Cricetulus griseus: one gene and its partners. The protein of the gene in region 2 interacts with the protein of the main gene of each other region in a pairwise test. Links are inferred from orthologs where the notes say so. Each region holds a gene or a part of one and is shown on either strand. Other genes may lie near its edges.

Region 1 (3,826 bases), about 82 Mb from region 2:
TGTCCAGCTATTCACTAGCAAAACCAACAACTAGCCACTACATCCACTCACTCCTTTGACTGCAGTTGTGTCCAAAATGTTTTACTAGAAAATCAAAGTTTATGGCCCACAGAGGCACCTACCATAAAACCTAGTTAAATGGCTAAGCCATAATTTACGTAGTCTTTTATTGGAATGGGAAGGAGACTACTTTTTTTCAAGAATTGTCCTAATACACAAACACCTCAGGAAGGAGCCCTTTCCATCACTTCCACTTTATGTGTTTCTTCTACCCCTATTCTCAATTTCTTTAAAAACAAAACAAAACCCCCCAAGCAAACATGGGTAAAGATGTAACTCAGAGGTAGTGCTTGCCTACCAAGTGTAAGGACCTAGGGTTTCCTCACCACCATAAAAACAAACCCAACAAAGCACAAACACATACCTTAGCTGGAGATTCATGTAGCTATGTACTTTCTTAGATAAGGACTTAGAACATACAGACCATGCAGTGAGAATAGTTATTAGCATAAACAGAAATATTTTAATTTTCAAATCATGATCCACAGAAGACCAACCAGTAGCTACTGATTTACAAAAAAATCATTATTAGCATTTAGAAATAATTAGAAGTTACAGGTGATTATGAGTCACTCCACATGGATGATGGGAACCAAATTCTCTGGTCCTCTGCAAGAGAGCCACATTGGTTCTTAAACCAGAAAGACAGCTCCAGCTCCATAAAAGACATTTCTTTGCTAATGTTACATTAACTGCCCAACAAGGATCATGTAGTGATTGATAATATAATTGAACAGTGTCATACTAATTTTTACTAACTATAAAGATTTTTTTATTTCAATACAGGGTCTCAACACATAGTTTTTCTGCCTCAGCCTCTGGTGTGCTGAGGTTACAGGAACACATCATTATTCAGAACTAGAAAATATTAATAACAAATACTCACTGACAACTTGTCAACCCCTAAAATATAGAGGACCATTTTGTTCAACAGTAAACTGAATTGTTTTCTCTGATGTGAAATCATTTTGCTTAAATTCTTTCTTTTTAATTCAAACTAGGAATGTGTAACTTTTCTCCTAAAAATTACTTTTTTTTTTTTTTTTTATAAATTGCATTCTCTGATTTTCTTGTCAGCTTGCTTTAAAGATATCCATGTGTTAAGAATGCTTGCTCGAAGTTTGGCCCATACCAAATGGTTGTATAACCCAAATATCTGAGCAGCAAACTGGGCGGATCCTTCTGGAGAAAGTATAGTTGAACAGCCAAGACCTATTGGTTCAGAATAGAAAGGACAAATAAATGAGTTAGTAGCTTAAAAAGAAATAAAAAAACAAAAGATGATAATAAAGCCAAGTCTTTACTTCTTAAGAGATGCATATTAAGCAAAAAATACACAATAATTCAAAAATATAACGTCTGATTTAAAATTAGTAGGCTGTGGCTAAAATGTGTAATTAAATATTAGAAGATGAGGCTGGTAGAGACATTAAGATTGCATCTTGAAATTTTGTGTATACTCCCAGTACTGAAAATTTTCAAGATCTTACCACTGGGCAGTCGAAGGGATGACCACACATCCTGAGCACCCCAGTCTGGTGTGATGGGGGGACAGCTGATAACCGGATATGCAGTATTACCAGACATCACTGGGCCCAAACCATTGCTTCTGCCAGCCACTGCGACAAATACAGTAGGTATGCCATCGCCTAGGGAAATTACAAGATAACCAGGTCCTTTTGTTTTGTTGACAATAACAGCAGGAACAAAAAAAGGGGGGGGGCATGTTAGATGGCTCAGTGGGTAAGGGGAACTGTTGCCAAGTCTGGTGACCTGTTTGACCTCTAGAACCCATATAGTGGCAAAGAATTGACTCTTGCAAGCTGTTCTCTAACCTCCACATATACTATAAAAATAAATGTAAAATACAAAATGAACTCAAATCCTTTAGTAGTCTGCTATAGAAAAAGCATACCTAGCTGTACAGTTAATAATAACCTAAGTAGCATAGGAATGGCCATTTTTGAGATCTACAGTATAAAGAGAATGTCCTGAAGTTGGTAAGGAAATGGCTGGTTCACAGCTTCCTTCTGATATTGCTGCTTAGACTCAGCAGCATGAAGAACCTCACCAGCTGAACAGCTATCTTTTATGATGAGTTGTCCTTCCAGAGGGTGCCAGTAGACTCATTTAATAGTGATTAAAATTCTCGTGGCTACTTCCAGTATTCAGTATTTGGGTGCTGGAGTACATGTAGTAAAAGCACCCAAAGTTAAAGGGCTTAGGATGCTTGAGTTGAAAGGCCCATCATTAGCAGTATCAAAAACCAACAGCAAAAGTACATCTCTATATCTCAAAAGTTTAGGAAGTTTGTATATTTAATACAGTGTTACTCTAGCCCAGGCTCAGCTTGAATTACAGCAAACCCGACCTTCCCACCTGTTAGGACTACAGGTCCTGGTTTTATGTGGTGCTGGATACTGAATCCTGAATTTCTTATTACAACTTAGTCTGCCTTTCTGGAGAAAGAATCCAAGCCTTCATTAGCTTATTAAAGGACCGGAAGCCCTCCTCCCATTGTTAACTACACTTCTGTTAAGTTTTCTTGTACCAACGATATCCTATCATTTACTTAATGTATTAACTCCTGAAACTATAGCTTTATTTCTTATTTTCTTTCAAGAAAACTGACAAAGATACCAGAGAGGCCCTGCTGCTTTAGCCTTAGGCATCCCACAGTTGGGGTAAGGGATTCTTTTCTTTTGGAATAAGCCAGCAACAGTGCTCAAGGGGCACTGTTAATAAGACAAGGAGACCACACATCCTTCTATTTTATGTGTATGGCTGTTTTGCCTCCATGTCTATGCATGGGTGTGGTGTGCAGTGCTCCTGGAGGCCAGAAGAAGTTGATGGATTCCCCTGGACTGGAGCTAGATGGCTGTGAGTGCTCCTCTTAATCAATGAGCCTTTTTTTTTTTTTTTTTTTAAAGATTCAAAAAAATTACAAGTATGTGTGCCTGCATGAGTTTATGGGCATCACATGCATGAGGTACACAAAGAGGGATAGGATGTCAGACATTATCCCTGGGGATAAGTGTAAAAGTATAGGCATTCCACATGACTTTCCTCCGAAATATGGAAAGCCTCTTTAAAACATTATTATCCAAAACATATGTACTTTAAAATATTTTACCCAAATCAGAAATAGCTGAAGTTGTCCATTTATTTATTAAGTTTACCTTCATACTCTGCTTTAATCCTCAAAGTTTCATCCGGTCCTTTATGGGCAGATGTTACTCGAAGTTCACATGGAATCCCGAAGTTTCCACAAGCCTTTTTAATTTTCTCACAGTGACCAAGGTCAGAAGTGGAACCCATCAGCACTACAACCCTGCACTGACTATCTGACTTCAGGAGTAACTCCACTCGATCTGCAACCCACTCAAAGTTCTTCTTTACCATCTGCAGTCCTTCCGGAGTTACTTCCTTGAGGTCACGGTAAGACTAGAAAGATAGAAATTTACAAAATAATTTTCTCTTGCTAGCTTAAAAACCCTTCCTTCCTTTCTTTAAGTAGAGCTTATGACAAGTTTACATAATGAGATATATCTGAAAATGCCCGTTGATGGAGAAATGTTTTTTCAATGAAAAAGTTCAGCAGCAAAGTTTCGCTTTTCATTCCAGGTCAAATGCTTTCTTCCTTAGCAATTACAAGTAGTTGAGTTAAAAGCCTTAATTAAGACTTGGTATGTAGAATCCCATTTCCGTCCCTTAGTCTTGGTATTGTGAAGATTAGACAAACAAGGACAGTTGTCCCTTTGCTGTT
Region 2 (4,205 bases):
CCAGGGAGTTTGGATCAGCATCAGGGAGAATGGCTAGATGACCTGTCCTATGGGACTGAGATACTGGGAGTGAAGTCCAAGGAGCATAGAAGCTTTTTTGTTTGCTTTGTGGTGCTGAGGAATGAGCCCAGGGCCTTATGTATGCTGAGCTATACTCCCCAGTTTCACAGGGGCTCTATGGGCTGGCCTTTGTGTAGCACCAAGTGCTGTGGCTTTGCTGTTCTAACTGGAGAATAGGTGGGCTGCCTGGTGACTGCTGAGATAGTCCACACAGCTCCTCCCAGGCCATGCTGACCTCTCAACAACCAGGGGGGAGGGTTGCTATAGACCTACTTTACAGATGAGGAAATTGAGACCAGGGCACAGAAAGAGCCAGCCAGCAGTGGCTGGGTGTCTGGCTTAAACTCCAGAGCTTTGTCAGCACCACCAAGCCACTGTCCCCCAAAGAAGGCACACAGAGCCAGCAGGAGGGAGGAGGAAAGGGACAGCTAGGATGGGGTGAGGAGCCCAGACTTGGCCTGCTCTGTGGATTCCTCCCAGCTGGCCCTGCCTTCCTGTCCTGAGCCGAGGTTAAAGAAGCTCTTCGGAGGAAAGGTCAGCCTGGGAGAGAAGCAAGAGCTGGCCAAAACAACCCACACCCTGTTCCCCATGGCCAGGCCCTGCATGCTGGGTAGGAGGGCACCACCCCTGCCCTCTAAGGATGCAATCTGCTGCAGAAGCCTTGAAACCGCATGGCAAATGCATTGAGCAGGGGGGATTTGGTGGGGGCTGCATCGAGGTCTCCAAGCTCCTTTTCTTCCTCCTCCCACATTCCTTTCCTTCACCCCCAGTCTTGTCCCACCTTGACCATACCAGTCCTGTCCCATCTCTCCTCTGAGCCTCATCAATCACTTCGTTTGCCCAAACCAATCCTGCAGCTGCCTTTTTAAATGCCTGGGTCCATCAATCTATACAGATCAGAATGTCCCAGGCAACGTTATGTGCCCCAGCCACATGACGTTCAGAAAATGTTAACGAAGTCAGAAAGTTATTTAGGGCCTGTTCGTCTTGAGCACTTCTCTAGTTTGTTTATGATAAACCTGGACAGTGGGAGCTAACTGCGGAGCCTAGGCTTCCGTAATGTCATCAGAGAGTGACGCCACCGACCCTGGTCGCGGTGGTGTTCAGCACCCTACAGGCAGGATGACATCACCGTCGGAACCCGCGCGGACAAGTGCCTGCTGGGTGAATTAGCAAAGAGCTGGGGAGAGTGAGGAGTGAGCGATCAGCGACTGAAACCCGGGAGAGGTGGGGGGAGGGGGCAGAGGGCGTGTCCCCGGAGCCCCGCCCCCACGGTAACTGCTGCCAGCTGACCAATCTGGGCAGGCCGTGGTGACGCGCAGCCTATCAGCAGCCCGGTCTCTCCTGGAGGTTCCGCGTTAGCCTTGGCCCCCAAGGCAGGGGAGGGGGCGAGGGGCTCAGCGGTTCGTCGCAGCTTCGGTCCCCGCCGCCTGCCTCCTAGGGGTCTGGCGAGTCCTGGCTTGCCAGCTCCCTGGAGACTTGATGGCCTCGGAAGGCCTGACGGGGGCGCTGGCCACCGTGCTGGGGGGCAAGGGGTTGCTGGTGCAGAGCTGTGACTCGGAGCCGGCTGGCAAGCCGCTGTCGCCCGTGCGGCTGCGGAAGAATGTCTGCTACGTGGTGCTGGCGGTGTTCCTCAACGAGCAGGTGAGCGTCCGGCCGCCGGCCTTCAGCTGGTCTCGGGAGCGCGCCGCCAGCCCTGGTAGGAACAGGAGAGCCAACGGCCGCTGCCTGTACGTGGCGCTTCCCAATGTTGCAAAGCACTCTCTCTCACACTAGCCGCTGAGCTGAGATCGTCCTTATAGATTATATATAATACAGAGGGAGAAGCCGAGGCCCCCAGGCGGTTTGTCTCATCCACTAGACCTCGCCTCCGCTAGCAGAGGCCTGCAGTATACCTCCTTCCTTCAGGAGTCTGGCACGGTGCCTGGCTTCCTGAAGGATTTCCTAGACCCTCCCGGTCCCACGGATAGTTATGGGGAGCTTACACGCAGGCCTCCGATCCGACCCTCTGGGAGTTTTTGTTTGCGATCATCTCTGTACAAGTCAATGTAAAAACATCCTGGCCAAGTAGGGATAGGTGGTATGGGGGCAGAGCTGAGTTTCAAAGCTCAGACCCTAGAGAGTGGGGACCGGATACAAGCTGTTTGTAAAACCTATGGGGAACAAGAGAGCAGCAACACAGTGGCATAGGTATGAGTCGGTTTTAAAGTGGTGGCTACCTTCAGCATAGGGCCTCTTTGGAGCAACGCCCAGGGACCTCAGTCCTTTCCTACAACACAAATGCCTCTGAATCCAAAGTTGGGTTACAGCTAAGAGGCGGCAGCCATAGCGCTCAACCACACCAGGCTCCCGACGACCCAGAATCCTGAAGGGAGCTTTGGGCCAACATCCATCCAGCTAAGGGCTGCTCTTCTGAAGCCCCCAGACTGGCGGCATAAGGTGAAGATTGCCTTGCTTCTCTCTCAGGATGAGGTGCTGATGATCCAGGAGGCCAAGAAAGAGTGCCGGGGAGCATGGTACCTCCCTGCAGGGAGAATGGAATCTGGGGAGACCATCGTGGAGGCGATGCAGCGGGAGGTGAAGGAGGAGACTGGGCTGCTCTGTGAACCAGTGACACTGCTGTCTGTGGAGGAGAGGGGTGCCTGCTGGATCCGTTTTGTATTCCTTGCTCGACCCACAGGTACAACTCACCTGGTGGCATTCTAGCACTTTCTTAGTTTGTTCTCCTTAGCTAGCCATGCTGTGGCTTCTGCAAATTGCCACTGACCTATTACAGGCTAAGAGCTTGGGCGGGGAGTCTCCCCCTGGAACGCTTGGGTGGCCATTTACTCTCTCAGCTCAACATTTCTCATACTGGCCCTCTCCTCATCCCCCAAATCTCCCCTAGGTGGAGTTCTCAAGACTTCCAAGGATGCAGATGCTGAGTCCCTCCAGGCTGGCTGGTACCCACGGGTCTCCCTGCCCACTCCGCTTAGAGCCCATGATGTTCTGCACCTGGTAGAGCTGGGTGCCAAATTCTGCCAACAAGCCATGCACCCTCTCATTCTGCCTCAAGAGCTTCCCTGCAGTGTGGTCTGCCAGCGGCTGGTGGCCGCCTTTACAACAGTCCAGTCAGTATGGGTGTTGGCGAGCACAGTGGGGACTCCTCACTTGCCCATCACTGGCTGTGGCTTCGGATCCATGGAGCAAAGGGGTGGCATCAAAGTGGCCACCCTACGGCTACTACAGGAGTGTCTGACTCTGAACAATCTGGCAGTGGAGACCAAGGGGTTGCTCGGACTGCAACACCTCGGCAAAAACCATGTTGACGGTCTCTGCCTGAATGTTCTAGTGATGGTGGCTTTTCGGATCCCAGGAATTGAAGATGAGCCCCCAAAGATTAGGGGTGAGAACTACTTTTGGTGGGAGGTATTAGAGGAAGACTTGCAAAAACAGCTTCTACACAGACTTCAGGAATCTTCTGTCATCCCCCTGAGCAGATAGAGAGGTATCAGCAGAAGCTGAGCATCCACCCGCCCTCTGTAGGCTGGAAAAAGGCTGGTAATCTCATGGCACTGTGTGCAGGGACCCCACATTGAGCCCAAAGGGAGAGTGCCTTGAGTCCAGTGCTCAAAGGTTTCCGTTGTTCTCAGGATACACAGTGCTTCTCTCAAAACAGTGAGAAGCTTTTTGAACCCCAAACGGCATCATCCTATTTCTTGGTCCACTTTGGTAAATGTTGATCCATCCAAGTTCTTAGGACTGTGGAGGGGATAGGACATGGGGGACTCATCCCTCAGGGCAGAGTCATTGCTGAGTAAAAAAGTGTTATTTAACTTGCCTTCTTGCCTAAATGTCTGTGTGAAGATGTGGGGCCACTGTCCCATCTACAGCCACCCAAGTCTTTCCTCATGATGCACAACACACACCGATGTGATGCAGGGGTGTAGGGCTCCCAGAGTAGGCAACACTGTTCACTGAAGTCTCAACCCACCCAGGCTCTCTTTAGCTTTTCTGTCCTGCCCGGGGTGGGTGTGGGACTTTGAAGTGACCACACCCCTAATAAAAACACAGCTCAGACCTGTCCAGGTGTTGGAACAGTTTGGTCTGGTGAAATTGTATGTGGGACAATAAAGAGCTGAGAATGACACCTTGGCCTCTCAGCC
Region 3 (4,298 bases), on a different chromosome or scaffold from region 2:
CAGCACTTTGGGGCAGAGGTAGGCGGATCTCTGTGAGTTCAAGACCAGCCTGGTTTACAGAGTAAGTTCAAGGACAGGCTCCAAAGCTACACAGAGAAACCCTATCCCAAAACAAAACAAAGCAAGATTTCAGAGCCTAGAGACCTGCAATTCTGGAACTCCCTAGTCACTGGCCTGGGGCAAAGGCATGGCTCTTGACACCTAGAAGGCTGGGCCAACTTTTTTTCTCAGCAGTCCATCAGTAGTCCTCCCTAGAGATGGGTCTAATTAGTCCCATCCAGTGAGTGGGAATCTGACACCAGAGGGTCACACCAATGTTATATGGCTGCTCAGTGCTACTAAACCCAGACTCTGGACTCTGATGAACAAACGTAAAGTGTCCAGGACTGTGTTAGGTGCAGAAATTTCAAAGTATCATCCTCACTTCATCATCTAGAGTAGGCTTGGCCCCCAAGACCACAGGCCTATGAAGCTACAGGAAATGGAGAAGCCCATTATAGGGTGGGTGGGGGGGTGGAGGATCAGTCCCTTAAAGTGAGTTAGACAGTAGGCATAGCAGTGCAGCACCAAGGAGGCTAAGGCAAAAGGATCAAGAATTCTAGGCCAGGGCCAGTGAGATGGCTAAATGAGGAAGGGGGCTTGCTATTTAAGTATGGGGCCTTAGTTCATTTCCTAGAGCCCATGTAAAAGTAGGAGAGTACCAACGTCATAAAGTTGTTCTGTGACCTCAACATATATGTGGTGACATTTTACACACACACACCCTGCATACTAATAAAATTTTATCTAAAAGAATTCTGGGTCAGTTCTGGGTCACATAGGTGGCAAGAACCTGCATCCAAAAACAAAGCAACACAAAGTGAGACTGAGGCTGGAGCTACAGCTCAGTTAGTGGAGCCCAGCACACACAAAGCTTGAGATTCCAAGCCCAGCACTGCATAAACCAGACCTTGTGTCGCATGCCTGAATCCCAGTCCTTGGGAAATGGAGAGAGGTGGCCATCCTTGACTATACAGGGAATTTGAGGCCAACCTATGCCACCTGAGGCTTATGCTCTGGAATCCTAAGAAGGATCTCTACTCCTGGCTCCTACAGAGTCCAGTCACGTCTGTTCATCCCCATTTAGGACCCTGCCATTAACAAATACCCAAGAGTGATAGCTTGGTTCATCTTACAGCAGGAAGCTAAGCCCTAGAAACCCTGGATTTGCTTGCTGCATTAGCATGAGGACCTGGGTTCAGTTCCCAGATGGCCATATGTACCTGCAAGCTCAGCACCGTGAGGGGACACAGCACCATAAGAATCTCCAGGGTATACTAGCCACCAGCGTAGCTGAAAAACAAGTTCCAGGTTCAGTGAGAGACTCCTAACTCAAGGGAATACAGTGGAGAGAGACAAGACACATGGCATCCCCTCTGACCCCCATGTACGTGTACACACACACACACACACACACACACACACACACACACACACACACACAGAGAGAGAGAGAGAGCTACAGCTCGCCCCAGCCCAGAGGAGGGGACCTGCACCCTTCGGGTCTTACAGCAATTGCCTCAGCCCACCCAGCATAAAGGCTCACAACTTCCTTCAGACCAGGCTGCTCCTCAAACACACAGCCCTGGACAAATCAAACAAATGCATCCTCAAGCAGGATTGCCTCAACCTCTGCAGGCACCAAGAACTCACCCCAAACACTTTCCAAGCCTAGCTAGTCTCTCTTCCTGGAGTGAAATTCCAACACACACAGGCTGGCTTCTGCTCCCTCTAAAAGATCCAAGCCTGTCCACACCTCACATGAGCTGGGTTTGGTATCCTGGCTGGAGTGGAAGTCCCATTTCTTTCCTAGCCCTTCAGGTCAAGCTCAGTTGGGGCCCATAAGAGTAAATAGATCTCACCTGTTCCCCTCCCCAGGGGCCCCTTTGTCCTTCTTCTTATCCTGGGACAGTTCTTAGTAGGAACAGCTCCCACCCCCACCCCAAGACCTAGTCTTTCCAGGGGAGGGAGAAGGTATTTGCCTACATTCAAGAAAGGCCATCAGCCTTGTGAACACGGGGCAGGATCTCCTATTAGACTGACCACGAACAGTTATCAGCCTTAAGGACCAATGGCCCTAACAGATGTGAATGGGGATGAAGGATGTGGAGAGGGCTCACCCAAGTCTCAGGATCTGTGCTGTTCCGCTCCATTCTGCGGGTCAGCACAAACCCATCCCAAATCTGAAGGTTTCAGTGAACTGACCAGGGACCTTGGAGAGACACAGCTAGCTTTCTCAATTGCACTGCTTTCCCAGAGTTCATGGGTGTTCCCTCCTTCAAATGCGTGCCCCAGATTTACTTTGGGATATACATACTACCACTTATTCCTCACCCCACCCCCCACTTCTCTCATGCGCTCCATTGGAGCTAGGAGGAGTTGGCCCTGTCACCTTCCCACCCTGGGGCAACTAAAATCGGTCCCGTCAGGATCCTTTCAGCGCTCGGGCAGCAGCGTGTCCTCACAGTACAATACACCCCTCCGCTGCAGGCAGGGCTGGGAGTACAGATCATCTCCCAAGTGGGGTGCAAACAACAGCAGTGCCCCCTGTTCTCCCACCCTAGGCGGCCAGCGCGGCCCAGACCGAGCGCAGCGCCACTGGCATGCGGGGACCTACCCGCTCCACATCCCGGCGCCCCCGCTCTCTGCGTTGCCGCAGCCGCGTCCACGCGCACAGCCAACTCTGCCCGGGCACCAGAGCTGCCCTGCAGCCTGTCAATCGCTCCCCCGCCGGTCTGTCCCGCTGGCCGCCAAGGTTCGCGGCTCCGCCCCACCCCAGCCCTTCCCCTGCCCTGGGCGGGTCACGTGCCCGAGAGGCGGCCCCAGGCCACGTGCCCGGCCCCGCCCCTCTTCCAGCCCAGCCCTGTCCCTCTAACTGCGTGGGGACGGTGATCCCGCTGAGTGAGGGCAGAACTGGCCCGTCATCTCTCAGTCAGAGTTGGCCTTGGCCTTTCCCACTCACTCTGTGCCTCTCACTTCTGGACCACCCTTGCTTGAGAACCTACAATGGCTCCCGAGGGTCTCAGCTATGATTCTCCCGCAGATTGTCACTCCAAGCGGCCAGACACCTCCTACACACTCAGACTTCTAGCCGTGTTACCAGACTCTGAAGCTCAGAGCTCTGCATCAGTCCCTGGACTTCTGGGAATGGAGTGGGGGAGACCCCAAACTAGTCCCATTCGTTGAAGAGTTAACCCAAGAGAGCACTACTTTGGCTCAACTTACCAATTCTGTTTTCCAGGGCCCTCCCCATGTACCTCTGAACATTGTTCATCCCAGTCTTTCCAGCTAGCTCTCCTCCAACCTCACAAACACCTGTCAATCCCAGGTATTTAAAAACAGAGCTGAGCCGGGCATTGGTGGCGCACGCCTTTAATCTCAGCACTCCGGAGGCAGAGGCAGGCGGATCTCTATGAGTTCAAGGCCAGCCTGGTCTACAGAGCGAGTGCCAGGATAGGCTCCAAAGCTACACAGACAAAGCCTGTCTCGAAAAACCAATAAATAAATAAATAAATAAATAAATAAAAGCAGATCTGTAAAAAACGAATACCTGGCCACTGGTCACCTGTCCCTCAGTTTCTCTGGCCTGCCTTTATCCTGGCCCTGATCACTACCCTGAATGAGGTTTAGCCTCTGTTCATGATGGATACAATGAGTAGAGCCCATAGCCAATCCCTCCTGTAGTGCTGCTAGGACCAGCTCCCACAGGCTGGGTCTACAGAACTCTCTGGGCTTCTGAGAGAGAACACAATCTCAATTCATCCATCCACACAAAGAGACATTCTGCTGCCCCTTCTGAGCTATCTAAGGACCATGCAATAGCAGGAGACCCTCTAGGCTGGAACCCCTCCCTCCCTCCTCCTCTCCCTCTCCCTTAATCCCCTCTTCTCAGTGGGTGTGAGTCATATATTACCTAGGCTGATCTCCAGCTTCTGGACTGCAATGATCCTCCCTCAACTTCCTCAGTGGCTGTGACCACAGGTATGTACCACCATGCTTGACTTATGGAATCCAGTATGGTGGATCATAGGTGAGAGACCTGCTTTCAAGGGCCTCTACTGCCAGAGCCTCAACTTGCCTAGGACCCATCTTCACCAACACAGTGTCACCTTTCAAAACAAAAACAAGTTTAGGCTGGAGAGGTGACTCAGCCAGTAAGGGCATGCATTGCTTTTGCAGAGGACCCAAGTTTGGTTCCCAGTACCCACATTAGGCAATTGATGACCTCCTCTGACTCCAGGTCTGGGGGACCCTAAGCC
Region 4 (3,500 bases), on a different chromosome or scaffold from region 2:
CTCTGGAGACCAGGCTGGCCTCGAACTCATAGATATCCGCCTGCCTCTGCCTTCCGAGTGCTGGGACTAAAGGCATGCACCACCAACACCTGGCCACTTGTTATTTTTTTTAAAGAGTAATTTTTGGTGTGCTAGACAGATGGTTCAGCAGTTAAGAGTGCTTGCTGCTTTTCAAGAGGACCAGAATTTGGTTCCAAACACCCACACTTGAAGGTTCGGAGCTGTAACTTCAGCCCCAAGGCATCCAGTGACCTCTTCTGACCTCCAAGAGCACTTGCATATCCATGGCCTCATGCGCGCGCGCGCACACACACACACACACACACACACACACACACACACACACGTATACATTTAAAAGGTAATGTTTATACTTCTTGAACAATTTCATACATACATACAATCTATCTTCATCACCATACTCACCCCACCTCCCCTCTCCCAATTGCCTGACATCCTCTTTCTTTTCTCTCTCCTCCATCTCTAACCCCTTCCTTCCTTCCTTCCTTCCTTCCTTCCTTCCTTCCTTCTTTCCCTCCTTCCTTCCTTTCTTTCTTCCCCTCATTTTTAAATGACCCACTGAGTGCATCCACCTACCAGTGGACAATCTACCAGTGACCACACCCTCATCCTCAGTAGCCTTCAGTTGCCAATATTCTTCAGTAAGGTTCGGGTCCTTATGAGCCCCCCCAATCCATGCTTCAATGCTAACAACTGCTTCACTTGTGTGAGTCTTCTGCAGGTAAGTTGCAGTCAGTTCATGATATCAAGGGCCATGGAATGACCAGAAGACAGCATTTTACAGGACTGCTCTCTGCCCCCCAGATCTTACTCATTCATGTTGTCCCCTGAGCCATAGCATGGGGTTGCTGTGTAGCTGTCTCAGCTAGGGCTGAGCACTCAGCAGTCACTGATTCTCAGCACATCAGTCTCTGCATTAACTATCCACACTGCAAACAGGGGCTTCTCACTGGGCATGGCAGAGCTCACGCTCAATCCAGCACTCAGGAGGCAGCAGCATGTAGTGAGTCTTTCTCTGTCTGGCCAGCCAGCTCCCAAATAATGACACGGAGACTTCTTTTAATTATGAGAGCTTGGCTTTCACCTAAGCTTGTTTTTAACTAGCTCTTATAACTTGAATTAACCCATTTCCACATTCTGTCACTTACTGCCCATCTTGCTTCTCCTGTGTCTCCTGGCATCTCTTGTGCACCTATTCTCATCTCCTACTTCCTCTCTCTCTCTGCCTGGAAGTCCTACCTAGACCTCCTGCCTAGCTATTGGTCCTTCAGTTCTTTACTAAACCAATCACAGCAATACACATTTCACACAGTGTGTAATATCCCACAATATTTCCCCCTTTCGTCTAAATAAAAAGGAAAGGTTTTAACCCTAACATAGTAAAAACTATATACAATAAGAACAACTATCAAATAAGAATTACATTCACAATGTTTAGTCCATTTGTATTTGGCAAATTTGGAAAAAAAATACTGTATTATCTATCTTAGTGGGTCCAAACTTTTATGCTAAAACCATTTTCTGTCATAATTTGTATTACTATCCTAAAATATCTTTTCACATCTAAAAACATCTTCTTAAATAAACAACTTAAACTTTTTTGTCTCTCAATTATATAAACTTTATTTCCCTACCTATTGGCTGTTCAGCTCTATTAAACCAGTCACAGCAATACACCTTCACACAGTGTACAAATAACCCACAACAGAAGCAGGCAGATCTCTGCGAGTTGGAGGCCAGCCTAGTCTACAATAGACTATAGTGAAACCCTGCCTCAAACATTCACAACAATAAAGGAGGAAGAGCTTTTCTGACTGAGGCAGAACTGTCGGAGGCCTGAGGCCTGGGACCTCCTGAACCATGGACTTCTGACCAGGTTTACAGTATTAGGCATGAATTCTCTCCTGTAGAACTGTCTTCTTATATAAACAGAAAGCAGATACCCCCATAACATTGATGCACTATTGCACCTGCCTGGCAGGTCAGTATTGCAGCGTACAAGGTTCACTTGTAGATAAATCTATTGATGACTTATCTCTCCCAGTGACCTGAATAACATTTTCTGTGACCATGGAACTTATCCAGCAAGGAGGAAGGTTTCAGGCCAGTTCTAGCTTGATTTCTCTGTATCCTGCATCCAAAGTATGTTGTATCTTCAGCAGTAAGGTCACTAAAAACATGTAATATTATTTATCTTTAAGTGTAGGGGTGTTTTGCCTGCATGTAGGTATATGCATGGGTATCTTTCTGATCCATGTTGAGTTTAGGTCAGAGGACAACATAGAGCAGTTAGCTCTCCTCCACTGTGTGTGTCCCAGGGATCGAACTCAGGTTGTCAGCCAGTGTCTTTATTGCTGAGCCCTCTTGCAAGGCCCCTCTTGTTTTTGTCTAAGCCACAGTCTCACCCTGAAGCCTGGGTTGGTATTGAATTCATGGCAATCCAACTGTCTCAGTCTCCCAAGTTCCCATAGGTGTCAAAACCCAGGAATGTCCCACACTACCTCCCTCATTTAGTCCCAAGTTACAGCAACCTGTAACAAATTGGCCTGCACAGAGCCCATGCACAGGGAATGTCTGCAAGAGGGCTGAGACTAATCTCACTGATGCTAAAGCTCCCGACCCCCCAAGAAGAGTTTGGGAAGGACTCCATCCTCAGACCCAACCCTCCCTGGTCTCTGCCTCTGCAGGGTGCAGTAACAGCTATGACAAAAGCTTTGGCCTTGGATGAGAGCCGATATGGTGTCCGTGTCAACTGGTGAGCGGATCAGAGAAGCTGGGGGCAGTTGGGGTTGCCAAGACAGAAGTAGCATATGCTTCTCCCATCCCTTCTCCCCTTACCTAGCATCTCCCCAGGGAACATCTGGACTCCACTGTGGGAAGAGCTGGCAGCCTCAACTTCAGACCCCAGTGCCACCATCCTAGAAGGCACCCTAGCCCAGGTAGGCATGGTTAGGAGCTGGGAGGGACGGAGTTAGCTGGGGGTAGAGTGTGGATCAGGTCAGGGTCTTTCTTCTCTCCTCTCCTCCTCTTCAGAGCTTCATATAATCCAGACTGGCTTGGACCTTGATATGTACCTGGGGACATCCTCGAACTTCTGATTTTCTTGCTTCCATTTCCTGAGTGCCGGAGTCACAAGCATGTGCCATTCTTTGTGTGTGTTCACGGGCATGCACTTGTGTGAACTCTCTAGCCCAGGCTGGTCTTGAACCCAGGGCAAACCTCTTGCCTAGACCTCTCTTGCTGAGATGACAAATGTGAACCAACATACCTAAGAGGGCTACTCTTAATTTTCTTTCTCCCTTCTCTCCCCAGCCCCTGGGCCGCATGGGCCAGCCAGCTGAGGTGGGGGCTGCAGCAGTGTTCCTGGCCTCTGAAGCCACCTTCTGTACAGGGCTTGAGCTTCTTGTGACAGGGGGTGCAGAACTGGGGTATGGATGCAAGGCTAGTAGGAGCAGTCTTGTAGAAGCCCCCATTCTCCC
Region 5 (4,091 bases), on a different chromosome or scaffold from region 2:
AACATAACCAGAATGAAACCACCTTCCTCAGCCCCAGCTCTGCTCTCTATCCCCCCCTCCCCAGGACCTCCCAAGCCACTTGTCTCTCAGACCAGGCTAGCCTCATGTCCCAGCCTGGATACCAGGACTCTCAACCTTGTGGCCCCATTGCCAGGTCTGACCTAAGAGGGTTTTTTTTTTTTTTTAAAGATTTATTTATTTATCATGTATACAGTGCGTGCCAGAAAAGGGCATCAGATCCCATTACAGATGGTTGTGAGCCAACATGTGGTTGCTGGGAATTGAACTCAGGACCTCTGGAAGAACAGTCAGTGCTCTTAACCCCGGAGCCATCTCTCCAGTCCATGACCTAAGGGTTTTTGTCTTCTTATTTTTAACTTATATAATTTTATTTATTACTTTGAATTACGTGTATGTACCCTGTGTGGCCATATGTGCACAAGAGTTCAGGTGCCCATGGAGGCCAGAAGCTGGAGTGACAGGTGGCCTTGTGACAGTCACCTGACATGGGGATTGGGTTCTGAGAACAAAACCTGGGTCCTTTCAAGAACAGAATTCAATTTTAACCACTGAGCCATCTCTCCAAACCATTATTTTGATTTTTTGTTTTTTAAAAACTTGAGACAGGGTTTCTCTGTATAGCACTGGCTGTTCTGGAACTCGATTTGTAGACCAGGATGACCTTGAACTCACAGAGATCCACCAGCCTCACCCCGAATGCTGGGATTAAAGGTGTGTGCCACCATGCCCAGCTCTCATTTTGATTTTTGTTTGTTTGTTTGTTTGTTTTTCGAGACAGGGTTTCTCTGTGGCTTTGGAGCCTATCCTGGCACTCGCTCTGTAGACCAGGCTGGTCTCGAACTCACAGAGATCGCCTGCCTCTGCCTCCCGAGTGCTGGGATTAAAAGAGTGCGCCACCAATGCCTGGCTCATTTTGATTTTTTAAAAGACTCTGAAGCCCAGGCTTGTTTTGAATTTACAGCAATCATCCTGTTTCAGCCTCCCAAATGCTGGGATTACAGGCATGAGCCAGAACGTCTGTCTGTCTTTGAAGTGTTTCACAAGAATCTGGTTTGTGGGGACTGGAGAGACGGCCCAGCAGTTAGGAGCACTTGCTGCTTTCCCAGAGGGCCTGCCTTCTGGGTGCTTAACAAATTTTGTAAGGCTAGGGCATGGTTGCATACTCCTTTAATCCCAGCACTCAGGAGGCAGAGGCAGGGGAAATCTGTGAGTTGGAGGCCAGTCTGGTCTACAGAGTGAGCTCCTGGCAGGCCGAGGCTACGTAAGAAGACCCTATCTCAAAACAATTTTTTTCAGGCTCTCCTATGTCTGGAAATTGTGTATGCCCTAGTGACTACTATCTGCCAAGGCCAAGTTCTCTTGTGCTTCAGGCTCTTCTCGCTCGGCCCTAGTCCATCTTCCTCTGGTAACCTGTCTGGGACCTGAAAGACTGTCACAGGTCTCCTTGGCAAACCTGGGATTTCCTCTCAGTGGGTCTTCCCTGACACTTCTCTTCCCAGTGGGCGGACAGGTCTCCGTTTCCCCTTCTGGAAATATCTAGTATCTTACCAGTTCAGCCCTGGGACAGAAGGCATGGGAAGGCAGACAGACCTAGGCCTGCACACGGTCGCCACCTGGTGTCCAGTGTGGGTACCTGCAGCGGATGCTCTCCCCGGGGAGGATTGGGAAGGACTGATTCATTTTACAGGAGACACAGGAGCCGGGGTTTTAGGGCTCTCCCTGGGTTTTGGGGAGCTGAGACTGGAGGGTATTCACCTGCGACCTTAAGGACTAAGTTTAATGACTCTAGTGCACCTCTCGGTGGGACCGACTTGATTCCCAAATATTCGGAGGTCTGCAGTTCTGTGGGACCTGGGGATCCGTTTGGGCGGGGGGTTTCTCACCAAAGAGCACAAGCTTGGACTGCAACGTGCGCAGATAGAGAATGTAACAGGCGCCAAAGAAGACAGCCAGAGCCACCAGCAGCATGGGGGATGTCACCCTGGAAGAGTGTGGGAGACAGGAGTCAGGCGTCTGAGGCTGTGTGAGCCGGCTCCCTCTAGCCTTGGGCATCACATGGGGTGGCTAGACTGCATCCCGGCTCGGGTGGATTCAGGAATACAGACCGACTCCTGGGTGCTCGGGTGACAAGGCCCTGGGCCTAGCTAACCGGCGGGGGGCGGGGCCTGGCAACAGGGGGCGGGGCCTGGCGCAGGAGGGCGGGGCTGCCGAGGCACTCACACGCAGTAAAGGATGAGGCCCAGAAACACGAACACGTAGTTGCTTTGGTAATACTCCACGTTGCGTACCAGGCGCTGGCAAAGCTCGCCCAGGTTGCGGGGTCGCGAGAAACGCTGCTGATCCACGAAAGCGCCCCAGGGCCGGATGGTCGCGCGGCGCCGCTCCAGCCACTCTCGGCCGGCGCCGGAGGGAATCAGCTTGGGCAGCAGGGTCCTGGAGGGCGGGGCGGGGCGGGGGCAGGTCAGCCGCAAGCGGTCCCAGGGCCCGGACCCCAGATCCCAGCACATCGCGGCCCCCGGGGGACATCTCCTCTGCAAAGCCCGGGGGCCGGGACGCCTGGGACCCCACGCTCGGGAGTATGGGGGGTTACACCCTGCTCGCTCACGTGGCGCTCAGCCCCTCCACCTCCGTATCCTTCTGCTGGTCCTTCTGGGCCGCCATGTCTACGCTGCGGTGTGTGGGATCGCCGCGGACAGCCTCGAGCCCCGCCGCACCCAGCCGGCCCCCGCCCGAGCCCGGACGCTCAGGACATGGCGCCGCTTGGCACTCTAGGGGGCGGTAGTTGCGTCTCCGAGCATTCTGGGAGTTGTAGTCATTGCGGCGTCAGGAGGTCGGTCGGGCTCGCAAGACACCTCGGGAGAAGTATGCCAAGAGCGCCGCGTGGGCCTCTAGGCATTGTGGGAACTGTAGTTTCAGAGCGTGCAGCGTGGGCTCTTAGGATGGGGCGTTTTTACCGGGAGTTGGCATGGCAGCTGCGGGATTCCGTGGAGGGTGCGGAGCTATCATCCTGACTCCAGACGGCATAATAATAATAATAATAATAATAATAATAATAATAATAATAATAATAATAATAATAATAATAATAAATAATTAATAATAATAATAAAAACATTGGCCGCAGCCTCAGATATTCTGATTCTGATTGGGCTGGTCTGGGGTGGAGTTCATTAACTTTCTCTTTCCTTAGAAAACAAAACAAAACAAAAATTATAGGGGCTGGAGAGATGGCTCAGATGTGTGAGAACCGGCTGCTCTTCCACTTCCAGGTGTCCTGAGTTCAATTCCCAGCAACCCACATGGTGGCTCACAACCATCTACAAATGTGATTTGGTGCCCTCTTTTGGCATATAGCATACATGAAGGCAGAACACTGTATAATAAATAAATTTTTAAAAATATTATATATGTATATATCCAGCTCTAGTCAATCAAACATACTCACGTGTACTTACACAGATACACATAACTTTTAAAATATCTTTTCTAAAAAATGGCTTCTGCCGGGCATTGGTGACTCAAGCCTTTAATCCCAGCACTCGGGAGGCAGAGGCAGGAGGATCTCTGTGAGTTCGAGGCCAGCCTGGTCTACAGAGCAAGTGCCAGGACAGCCTCCAAAAGCTACACAGAAACCTTGTCTCCAAAAACCAAAAAGAATTAAAAATAAATGGTTTATGTGTGTGTGCCACATGGGTGACGGTGCCTGAGGAGGCCCAGAAGAGGGTATTACATCCCCCCCCTGGAACTGAAGTTACCACCAATTGTGAGCTGTTCAAAATACATGGGCTGGGAACTGAACTCTAGTCCTCTGGAAAAGCAGCACGCACACTCTTAACTACTGAGTCATCTCTCCAAACCCTCTTTTTTATTTTCATTTAAAACATCTGTTTTATTTATTTACTTTTTCCAGACAGGGTCTTTCTACATAGCCCTTGGTACTCGCTCTGTAGACCAGGCTGGTCTCAAACTCTCAGCGATTCACCTGTCTCTAGTGCTTGGGTTAAAGGTGTGTGACACTACCACCTGGTTTTTAAAAATGATTTGTTTTTATTTTATGTACATTGGTCTTC
Region 6 (3,500 bases), on a different chromosome or scaffold from region 2:
AGCTGATGAAGGATGATGAAGGGATGGTGACACCCTCGTCTACAGCACATCCAAGAGATCAGGGACTAAGCCCAGGGGAAAAGGACCCTCATGTGTAACCCTAGCCAAGGTTCATTATCTGCAAAATGGGTGCAAAAACAGCATCTACTCTCTCTCAAGTCTGCCTTGGGAAACCGCCTTAAACTGTGGTCTCCCCTAAATATTACTGTTAAATACATAATGCACTCTGGGGCAGCTAGGGTGAGTGCAGGTCTGCTCTTAGCTCCAATATTCAACCTTTTCAGGACCCATGACCAGTCCTGAGAACTACATCAGCAGGGGCTCACCCCGGTCTGGTCTTGTTGTGGAATATTATCTTAAGATGTGTTACACTCGTTTATGCTGTGGAACATTTGTGTAATGATGCAAAGATGTGTTGCATTCTTTTATGTTGCATTTGTCTAACTCCGTGAAACTGTTACTTTGCCTATATAAAACACCTGATTGGTCTAATGAAGAGCTGAACAGCCAATAGCAAGGCAGGAGAAAGGATAGGTGGGCCTGGCAGGCAGAGAGAATAAACAGGAGAAAGGAGGGATCAGGAAGCAAAGGAGATGAAGGAAGCAAGAAAAGAAGGGGCCAGTCACAGAGCAAGATATTGAACAAGAAGGAAAAAAAAAGATATATAGAAATAAAGAAAGGTAAAAGTCCAGAGGCAAGTTAAGAAAAGTTGGCTAGAAATGAGCCAAGCTAAGGCCAGGCATTTATAAGAAAGAGTAAGATTCCGTGTGGTTTATTTGGGAGCTGGGTGGCAGGCCTCCCAAAAGAGCCAAAGAGGAAAGACCTGGAGCCTCTTTCCAAAACAGACAGGTCTGGAACCAGCCTCTGTTCTGTCTTAGTGTGGAGAGGGCCTAATGATTGGAGGTGTGGTGGTGATCATGACATAACTTGGTAGGCCTGGTCTTTCCTGACCCTTGTTTAGGTCTGTATGTGGGACCAAAGACAGGGTCTAGGCCAGGCACATTTCCCTCTTGTGTGGAGGAGGTGTGTTGATGGGGTTGAGGCTTCTGGCCCTTACACAGCAGTAGCTGACATTGGGGAAGGGTTTTTTTTTTCTCAACATCAAGGACTTTGTGGCAGCTCCCAGGAGAGTTTTGTTGTAGTTGTTTGTTTGTTTGTTTGTTTAGACATGATCTCAGGTAACTCAGGGTGAAATCAGACTTGCTATGTAGCCAAGGATCGTTTGGAATGGCTGATCATCTTCTTCCATCTCCTCAGAGCTGGGATAACAGGTATGCACTAGGGATGGAATCTGGGGCTTCATATATGCTAGGCAAGCATTCCATCAACTGAGGTACATCCTAGCCTGAGTTGTATCAGCTCACAAAGCAGTTGGAGAGGCACGCAGGTCTGGTTGCCCACTTCCAGGGCTGCAGGCAGGAAAGTGTGGCCCTTAGTTTGCCTCTGGAGAGAAGATGCTAATGATCCCCTCCCCTCCCCGGCAGTCTTTCCTTCCCTACATCCTGCAACCTCAGCCCCAATGCACAGTGCAGTGGTGGGATACTCAGGCAGCTTATGAAGCTTGCCACACATTGTGATTTGACGGTGAGACTTAGGGCAGGGCTGTGCTGCTGTGTATATGAGCATGGGATGAGGGTTCCAAATTCTGTACCCTTAGATCCCTGTTTGGAGATGGTGGTGGTGTAGGGGACAATGCCTAGGGGCAATGGGCTCTAAAGCAGCATGGAGAGGTCTCCTCTTCCATGGGAACTGATTGACTGAGGGAGGGTTGGGCAATCGCCCTGGCTGCCTCTTGTTGGTTCTCTCTCTCTCTTCTGTGTGTGTGTGTGTGTGTGTGTGTGTGTGTGTGTGTGTGTGTATGTTATGCACATGTGTGTTATGCACATGTGTGTATGTGTGTATGTTCGAAGAGGCCTGTCCCATCACTTTATCACTTTGCCTTATTCCCTTTGGATAGGATCTCTCATGGAACCTGGAGATAGTCTAAAGACCACCTAGCCAGATATCCTCCCATCTCTTCGCCACAGTGCTGGGATAATAGGTGTATGTGGCCATGCCTGGCTGCTGAAGCTTCTAAAAAATCACTGGAGACCTTTGTCGCTTTTCACAGCCATACCTTTTCCATGTCCAGAACCTTGTCCTGCATTTCTCGAAGGGCCCCCAAAGTCTCTGTCTCGCGTAACCGTGACTGCTCCAGCTCTGTCTCCAAGTGGGCCACAAAGTCCTCTGTGAGGCGTGGGTTTTCCTGAAGACAAAGGACAGCATTGGTCCCTGGTGGAGCCTATTGCATGGTGGACAGCTTCCATGCTAGTGGGCAAGAGGGCCTGGGCTGGAAGAGGGTCTCAGTTTTTAGGCATCCTGGCTTGAATCCATTCTCTGTTCATGGCACTTGGAGGCAATGGACCTGACTTGGCTACTTTCCAGGGAAAGCCACACAGAAGGAATGTTGGGAATGGAACTTTCCATGACTTTGGGCTGCCTTCTGAGAGCCTCCGAGACTCAGTCCCAGGACCACAGGCTGTGGGTAGGGCATGTGCTCCTGCAGTGTGGCCAGTTGTGGAATCATACACATGGGCATGGTCAGGGACCACGGGCAGGGTTGGGACCTTTCTACCTGTCCCCCTCAGGCCCCACTTCAAGACAGGGAAGAATGGGAAGGAAGGAAGTTCCCTTTGAGCTTCTGGGTGGAAACCAAGACCCTCTCTTTCTGTTCTGGTGGTCTGGCAGGGAATTCCTCTAGGGGACCACCCCAATTTGGTGCCCAATCTGGTCTTGGCAGGCACACCCTTCTCCAGCCACAGCCCCTATTCCCTGACCTCTGTCCTGTTAGGAACTCTGATTCTTTGTGCTAGCATCTCTTCCTGGTCAAGACAGACTCCAGGCCTTCTGAGGTGTCCCTCTTCTGGGAGACCTCCTCCTTTCAGTGCTCCTCTTGAGCCTGAGGACAACAGCTCTGGACCTGATCATCCTTTTCATAGCCCCATAGCAGGATTCAGAGGCTCTGTTTCTCAGAGGAACTCTACTGCCTAGTGTCAAGATAAGGCAAATCCACCTCAGGGTGGGAAATAGTAATCTTAGGCTGTCCTGTGGAGTCTAGGGGTGGTTAGCTGTGAGGGGAAGCAAATCCACACTAGCCTCTGGATACCCCTATCCACATTATAGATTTAGTCCCCAAGGGCCAGAAGGTAGGGGTGACACAAAGACCTATGGGAGGTGTGGTCCTTCCAGTCAACCCCACCCACACGCCTGGTACCTGCTGTTCCTGCAGCTGCCGAATGGTGCTCTGTGCCTTCTGAAGGTCCTCTGCAGTTGAGCTACACTGTTGTCTCACCACTGCCAGCTCCCGTTTGATGACATAGTTCTCCTCAGCCTCCTGTGCCCGTGTCACCTGCCCCTGAGCACAGTGAGGATGGGGGTGGAAAGGGTGCCGTGACTATCTGCTTTGGTCCCAGGCCTGGCCTCTGGGAGGCTCAGAGAGGATGAGAAGAGGGGTAGAGTGA
Region 7 (2,787 bases), on a different chromosome or scaffold from region 2:
ACCTGCCAGAGGACTGACTGCACCTGACACTGAAGCCAGTGCATTTCCCCACGGATGTGCAAATACGGGGTGATGCACTGGATGGGGGGGGGGGGCAGCAACAGCACAGTCTGCAGTAACTCGGTGGTGTGGCTCACCTCTTCCCACCAGGCTCTCGGCTCTGCTCTGCAGCCCTCCCCCACCCGCAGTGTGTGCAGATGGCACCCCGATGATGGAGACAGACAAGGAGACACCATCACAACCACAGGGTGCCATCTGCACGCAGTCCCACCCGACTTTACCTCATCTTCCTACAGTTTCGAACTATCTGCAGAGAATACAGATACACAAAACTGAAGTGAGGAGCTATGATTAGAATTATTTAAAGCCTTCTGAAACTTTCCAAATGTACTTCTGATGAGGGCCACCCACCCTCCCTAACAGAATCGAAACAAGGCCACCCTTGCCCCGTGAGTCCTGCCAGACTTGCTGATGGGTGCTCAGGGTTTTAGTTTGCCTCCTTATTCTTCCTCTTCCTCCTCTTCATCGTCGTCTTCATCATGGCAGTGTGTAATCTCCTGGGGAGCCAGCGGGAAGAGGTTGGGCGGCTTAATCTCACTAACGGACCTTGTGAGCTGGTGCCGCTTGTAGTCGGTGTCTTTGAAATCCACAGATGTGCGGTTCCGGGTGGCGAGAGGGGATTCCATCTCGTTGATATCCACGTGTGTGTGCTCCACTGTTGATTCATGAGGCATCTAGAACAAAGCAAAGGCTCAGGCTACAGGCAGCACAAAGATAAGTACCACCCAGATCTGAACCCTAACATGTCTTATCTACAGTGTCTGTATGAGTGAAATCTGCCAGCAGGGACAGAAGCTGCCCGCATCCTTTCCTACAGATGAAAACCAGTAAAACAGAAAAACCGTACTTTCTATTTTTATACTCCCTAAACCAGTCCTGAAACAGAACAGTATTGGGACACACATATAAGAACATTTATTTCAATTAGTACTAACGAAGGCATCTCTCAATGTAGTCCTAACTCAGAGATTCACTTGCTTCCACCTGCCAGGTACTGGGACTAAAGGCGTGCACACCACACCTGGCTTTTTTTTTTTTAAATATAGGGTCTCATGTGGTTGAAGCTGGCCTTGAACTCCCAATCCTCCTACCCATGCTCCCCCACCCCCAAAAGCTGAGATTCTAGGTGTGAGCCACCACCTACTCAAAGGAAGAAAAGTCTTTCTATCTAACCACATAAGCCATTCACAGTTTTCACATAGACTATCTCCCATGTCATTCCACAAACCTGGTGCAGATGTGACCCAAGGTCCATCTTAGCTGTCTGTCCCAACAGCTTTACTCACCAGGACATGGGCGGCTCTGAAGAGGTAGCTGAACGGGTAGTACAGCAGGTTGATGAAAGACGCTGCGTAGAGGTCAGCATACCTCATCACTTGACTGGCAAAGAGTGTCTGCCGGGAGCCACTGCGGAAGAGGCTTCCCATCATCCCATAGCACATGTCCATGTCATGAGTTACTTTCTAGAAAAAAAAAAAAAGTTCTCAGCTGATTCAACTATCTGTTGGTCACCAGCAACATCCAAGTTCCTACATAAAATCAGAAACATGTAAATGACTTAGACAACTGATTTTCCACATTTTATCCCAAATCCCATCTGGATACCTTAATCCGTCTCTGGATGGAACTAATGTCTGGGCGCTCATTGCTACTGCTGTCAAGGTGCCTGGGGACAGAAGGAAAGCACAGAACAAATCTCTAAATGAACACATTGTATTCCTATGTTGTTCTTGAAGATGTAGGTAGGGTTTAGAACTAGGAAACTTACTTGTAGAGTTCAGCCAAGAAAATATCCAAGCTCTGAAGTTCTTCAAAAAGTGCTAGTTAAAAGTTTGGAAAGGAAAAGAAAATGTTTTACATAAATCAAGAAAAGGTACCTGGCTTTTAAGTGCTGCTCAAATTAGTGAACTCTAAGATATGACAAAAAGCACAGCCTTGCCTAACATGGCAGAGTCAAGTGTGTGTGTGATCTGCGTCTCCCCAGGGAAGCTTGCTGACACTCACGTGGACTCTGCCAGCGGAAGACCACCAAAATTTCCTTTGAAGGGTCTCCTCCTGCCTAAAAGCCATTGACCACAACTCCCCCTTCCAACCATGTGCTCACGTGGGGGCTTCCAAAACACTAATTTCTGCTCCCTTGGGTGCAGGCACCAAAGAAACTACTGATAGTTTGACTTTAAAAAAAAAAAGTTTATGTTTGAAGTTTGTGTGTGTGGTGGGGGTGGGAGGGCTTGCGTGTGCCATGGGGTGTGTGTATGAGTCAGTTCTCACTATGTGGACTTTGGGGACTGAGCTCAGGTGAAGTTTACCAGCAAGCACCTTTACCCACTCAGACATCTAGCTGGCCCCATTTCTAGAAAAAAGGACTAGGAATTAGGTGACTGGTCCAGAGCTGAAGGTCAACTAGACTTCTAAAACTTCACAGGTGGGAAGCTTAAACTGTGAGGGCGACAGGCAGCTTCATTGACATGCCTCCTGAGTTCCCCAGGAGAACCACACCCTGATTTATCTATTACACAGAAGAGGGTTTCTTCTACCATCTTTACAGGCAGAAAGTCATTGAAATCAGGTGCTGTCACAGAGAAGGAAAGCCATCGTTTCTGCTTTCTTTATGTGGACTGCCTTGCCTGAGACTCACCAGCTTGCAGACAGGTATTATCGCTATTCTATTTTCTCGGGGAAACAAGGCTCAAGGTGCATACAGACTTTGAGCAGAGGAGCCAGAAT

Evidence for each region.
Region 1: the proteins of Nudt18 (region 2) and Paics interact in binary tests that used the Homo sapiens proteins (3 or more experiments, as listed by UniProt). The two-hybrid records come from large-scale screens. The link is inferred for Cricetulus griseus from reciprocal best matches to the Homo sapiens genes NUDT18 and PAICS.
Region 3: the proteins of Nudt18 (region 2) and Rab3il1 interact in binary tests that used the Homo sapiens proteins (3 or more experiments, as listed by UniProt). The two-hybrid records come from large-scale screens. The link is inferred for Cricetulus griseus from reciprocal best matches to the Homo sapiens genes NUDT18 and RAB3IL1.
Region 4: the proteins of Nudt18 (region 2) and Hsd17b14 interact in binary tests that used the Homo sapiens proteins (3 or more experiments, as listed by UniProt). The two-hybrid records come from large-scale screens. The link is inferred for Cricetulus griseus from reciprocal best matches to the Homo sapiens genes NUDT18 and HSD17B14.
Region 5: the proteins of Nudt18 (region 2) and Rabac1 interact in binary tests that used the Homo sapiens proteins (3 or more experiments, as listed by UniProt). The two-hybrid records come from large-scale screens. The link is inferred for Cricetulus griseus from reciprocal best matches to the Homo sapiens genes NUDT18 and RABAC1.
Region 6: the proteins of Nudt18 (region 2) and Evi5l interact in binary tests that used the Homo sapiens proteins (3 or more experiments, as listed by UniProt). The two-hybrid records come from large-scale screens. The link is inferred for Cricetulus griseus from reciprocal best matches to the Homo sapiens genes NUDT18 and EVI5L.
Region 7: the proteins of Nudt18 (region 2) and Nt5c2 interact in binary tests that used the Homo sapiens proteins (3 or more experiments, as listed by UniProt). The two-hybrid records come from large-scale screens. The link is inferred for Cricetulus griseus from reciprocal best matches to the Homo sapiens genes NUDT18 and NT5C2.

Annotation. Positions count from the first base shown.
Region 1 is NW_023276807.1:143,382,218-143,386,043, reverse strand, and holds the end of Paics (multifunctional protein ADE2), read right to left. Parts: intron 3,505-3,826; coding exon 3,240-3,504; intron 3,003-3,239; exon of another isoform or gene 1,710-3,002; coding exon 1,551-1,709; exon of another isoform or gene 1,527-1,550; intron 1,273-1,526; coding exon 1,106-1,272; 3' UTR 501-1,105; downstream 1-500. UniProt on the Homo sapiens protein: Bifunctional phosphoribosylaminoimidazole carboxylase and phosphoribosylaminoimidazole succinocarboxamide synthetase catalyzing two reactions of the de novo purine biosynthetic pathway.
Region 2 is NW_023276807.1:225,221,067-225,225,271, forward strand, and holds the start of Nudt18 (8-oxo-dGDP phosphatase NUDT18), read left to right. Parts: upstream 1-1,405; 5' UTR 1,406-1,542; coding exon 1,543-1,704; intron 1,705-2,526; coding exon 2,527-2,740; intron 2,741-2,947; coding exon 2,948-3,543; 3' UTR 3,544-4,205. UniProt on the Homo sapiens protein: Mediates the hydrolysis of oxidized nucleoside diphosphate derivatives. Hydrolyzes 8-oxo-7,8-dihydroguanine (8-oxo-Gua)-containing deoxyribo- and ribonucleoside diphosphates to the monophosphates. Hydrolyzes 8-oxo-dGDP and 8-oxo-GDP with the same efficiencies.
Region 3 is NC_048596.1:50,432,918-50,437,215, forward strand, and holds the start of Rab3il1 (guanine nucleotide exchange factor for Rab-3A), read right to left. Parts: upstream 2,801-4,298; 5' UTR 2,668-2,800; coding exon 2,657-2,667; intron 1,333-2,656; exon of another isoform or gene 1,263-1,332; intron 1-1,262. UniProt on the Homo sapiens protein: Guanine nucleotide exchange factor (GEF) which may activate RAB3A, a GTPase that regulates synaptic vesicle exocytosis. Promotes the exchange of GDP to GTP, converting inactive GDP-bound Rab proteins into their active GTP-bound form.
Region 4 is NC_048599.1:154,472,424-154,475,923, forward strand, and holds part of Hsd17b14 (17-beta-hydroxysteroid dehydrogenase 14), read left to right. Parts: intron 1-2,708; coding exon 2,709-2,776; intron 2,777-2,863; coding exon 2,864-2,960; intron 2,961-3,333; coding exon 3,334-3,500. UniProt on the Homo sapiens protein: Catalyzes the NAD(+)-dependent oxidation of L-fucose, yielding L-fucono-1,5-lactone, which rapidly converts spontaneously to L-fucone-1,4-lactone. Can also act on D-arabinose and L-galactose, with lower catalytic efficiency. Does not use NADPH.
Region 5 is NC_048602.1:9,714,295-9,718,385, forward strand, and holds the start of Rabac1 (prenylated Rab acceptor protein 1), read right to left. Parts: upstream 2,801-4,091; 5' UTR 2,683-2,800; coding exon 2,627-2,682; intron 2,455-2,626; coding exon 2,242-2,454; intron 2,003-2,241; coding exon 1,905-2,002; intron 1-1,904. UniProt on the Homo sapiens protein: General Rab protein regulator required for vesicle formation from the Golgi complex. May control vesicle docking and fusion by mediating the action of Rab GTPases to the SNARE complexes.
Region 6 is NC_048597.1:89,010,935-89,014,434, reverse strand, and holds part of Evi5l (EVI5-like protein), read right to left. Parts: intron 3,395-3,500; coding exon 3,254-3,394; intron 2,246-3,253; coding exon 2,117-2,245; intron 1-2,116. UniProt on the Homo sapiens protein: Functions as a GTPase-activating protein (GAP) with a broad specificity.
Region 7 is NC_048596.1:14,664,244-14,667,030, reverse strand, and holds the end of Nt5c2 (cytosolic purine 5'-nucleotidase), read right to left. Parts: intron 1,881-2,787; coding exon 1,829-1,880; intron 1,727-1,828; coding exon 1,666-1,726; intron 1,524-1,665; coding exon 1,347-1,523; intron 735-1,346; coding exon 501-734; downstream 1-500. UniProt on the Homo sapiens protein: Broad specificity cytosolic 5'-nucleotidase that catalyzes the dephosphorylation of 6-hydroxypurine nucleoside 5'-monophosphates.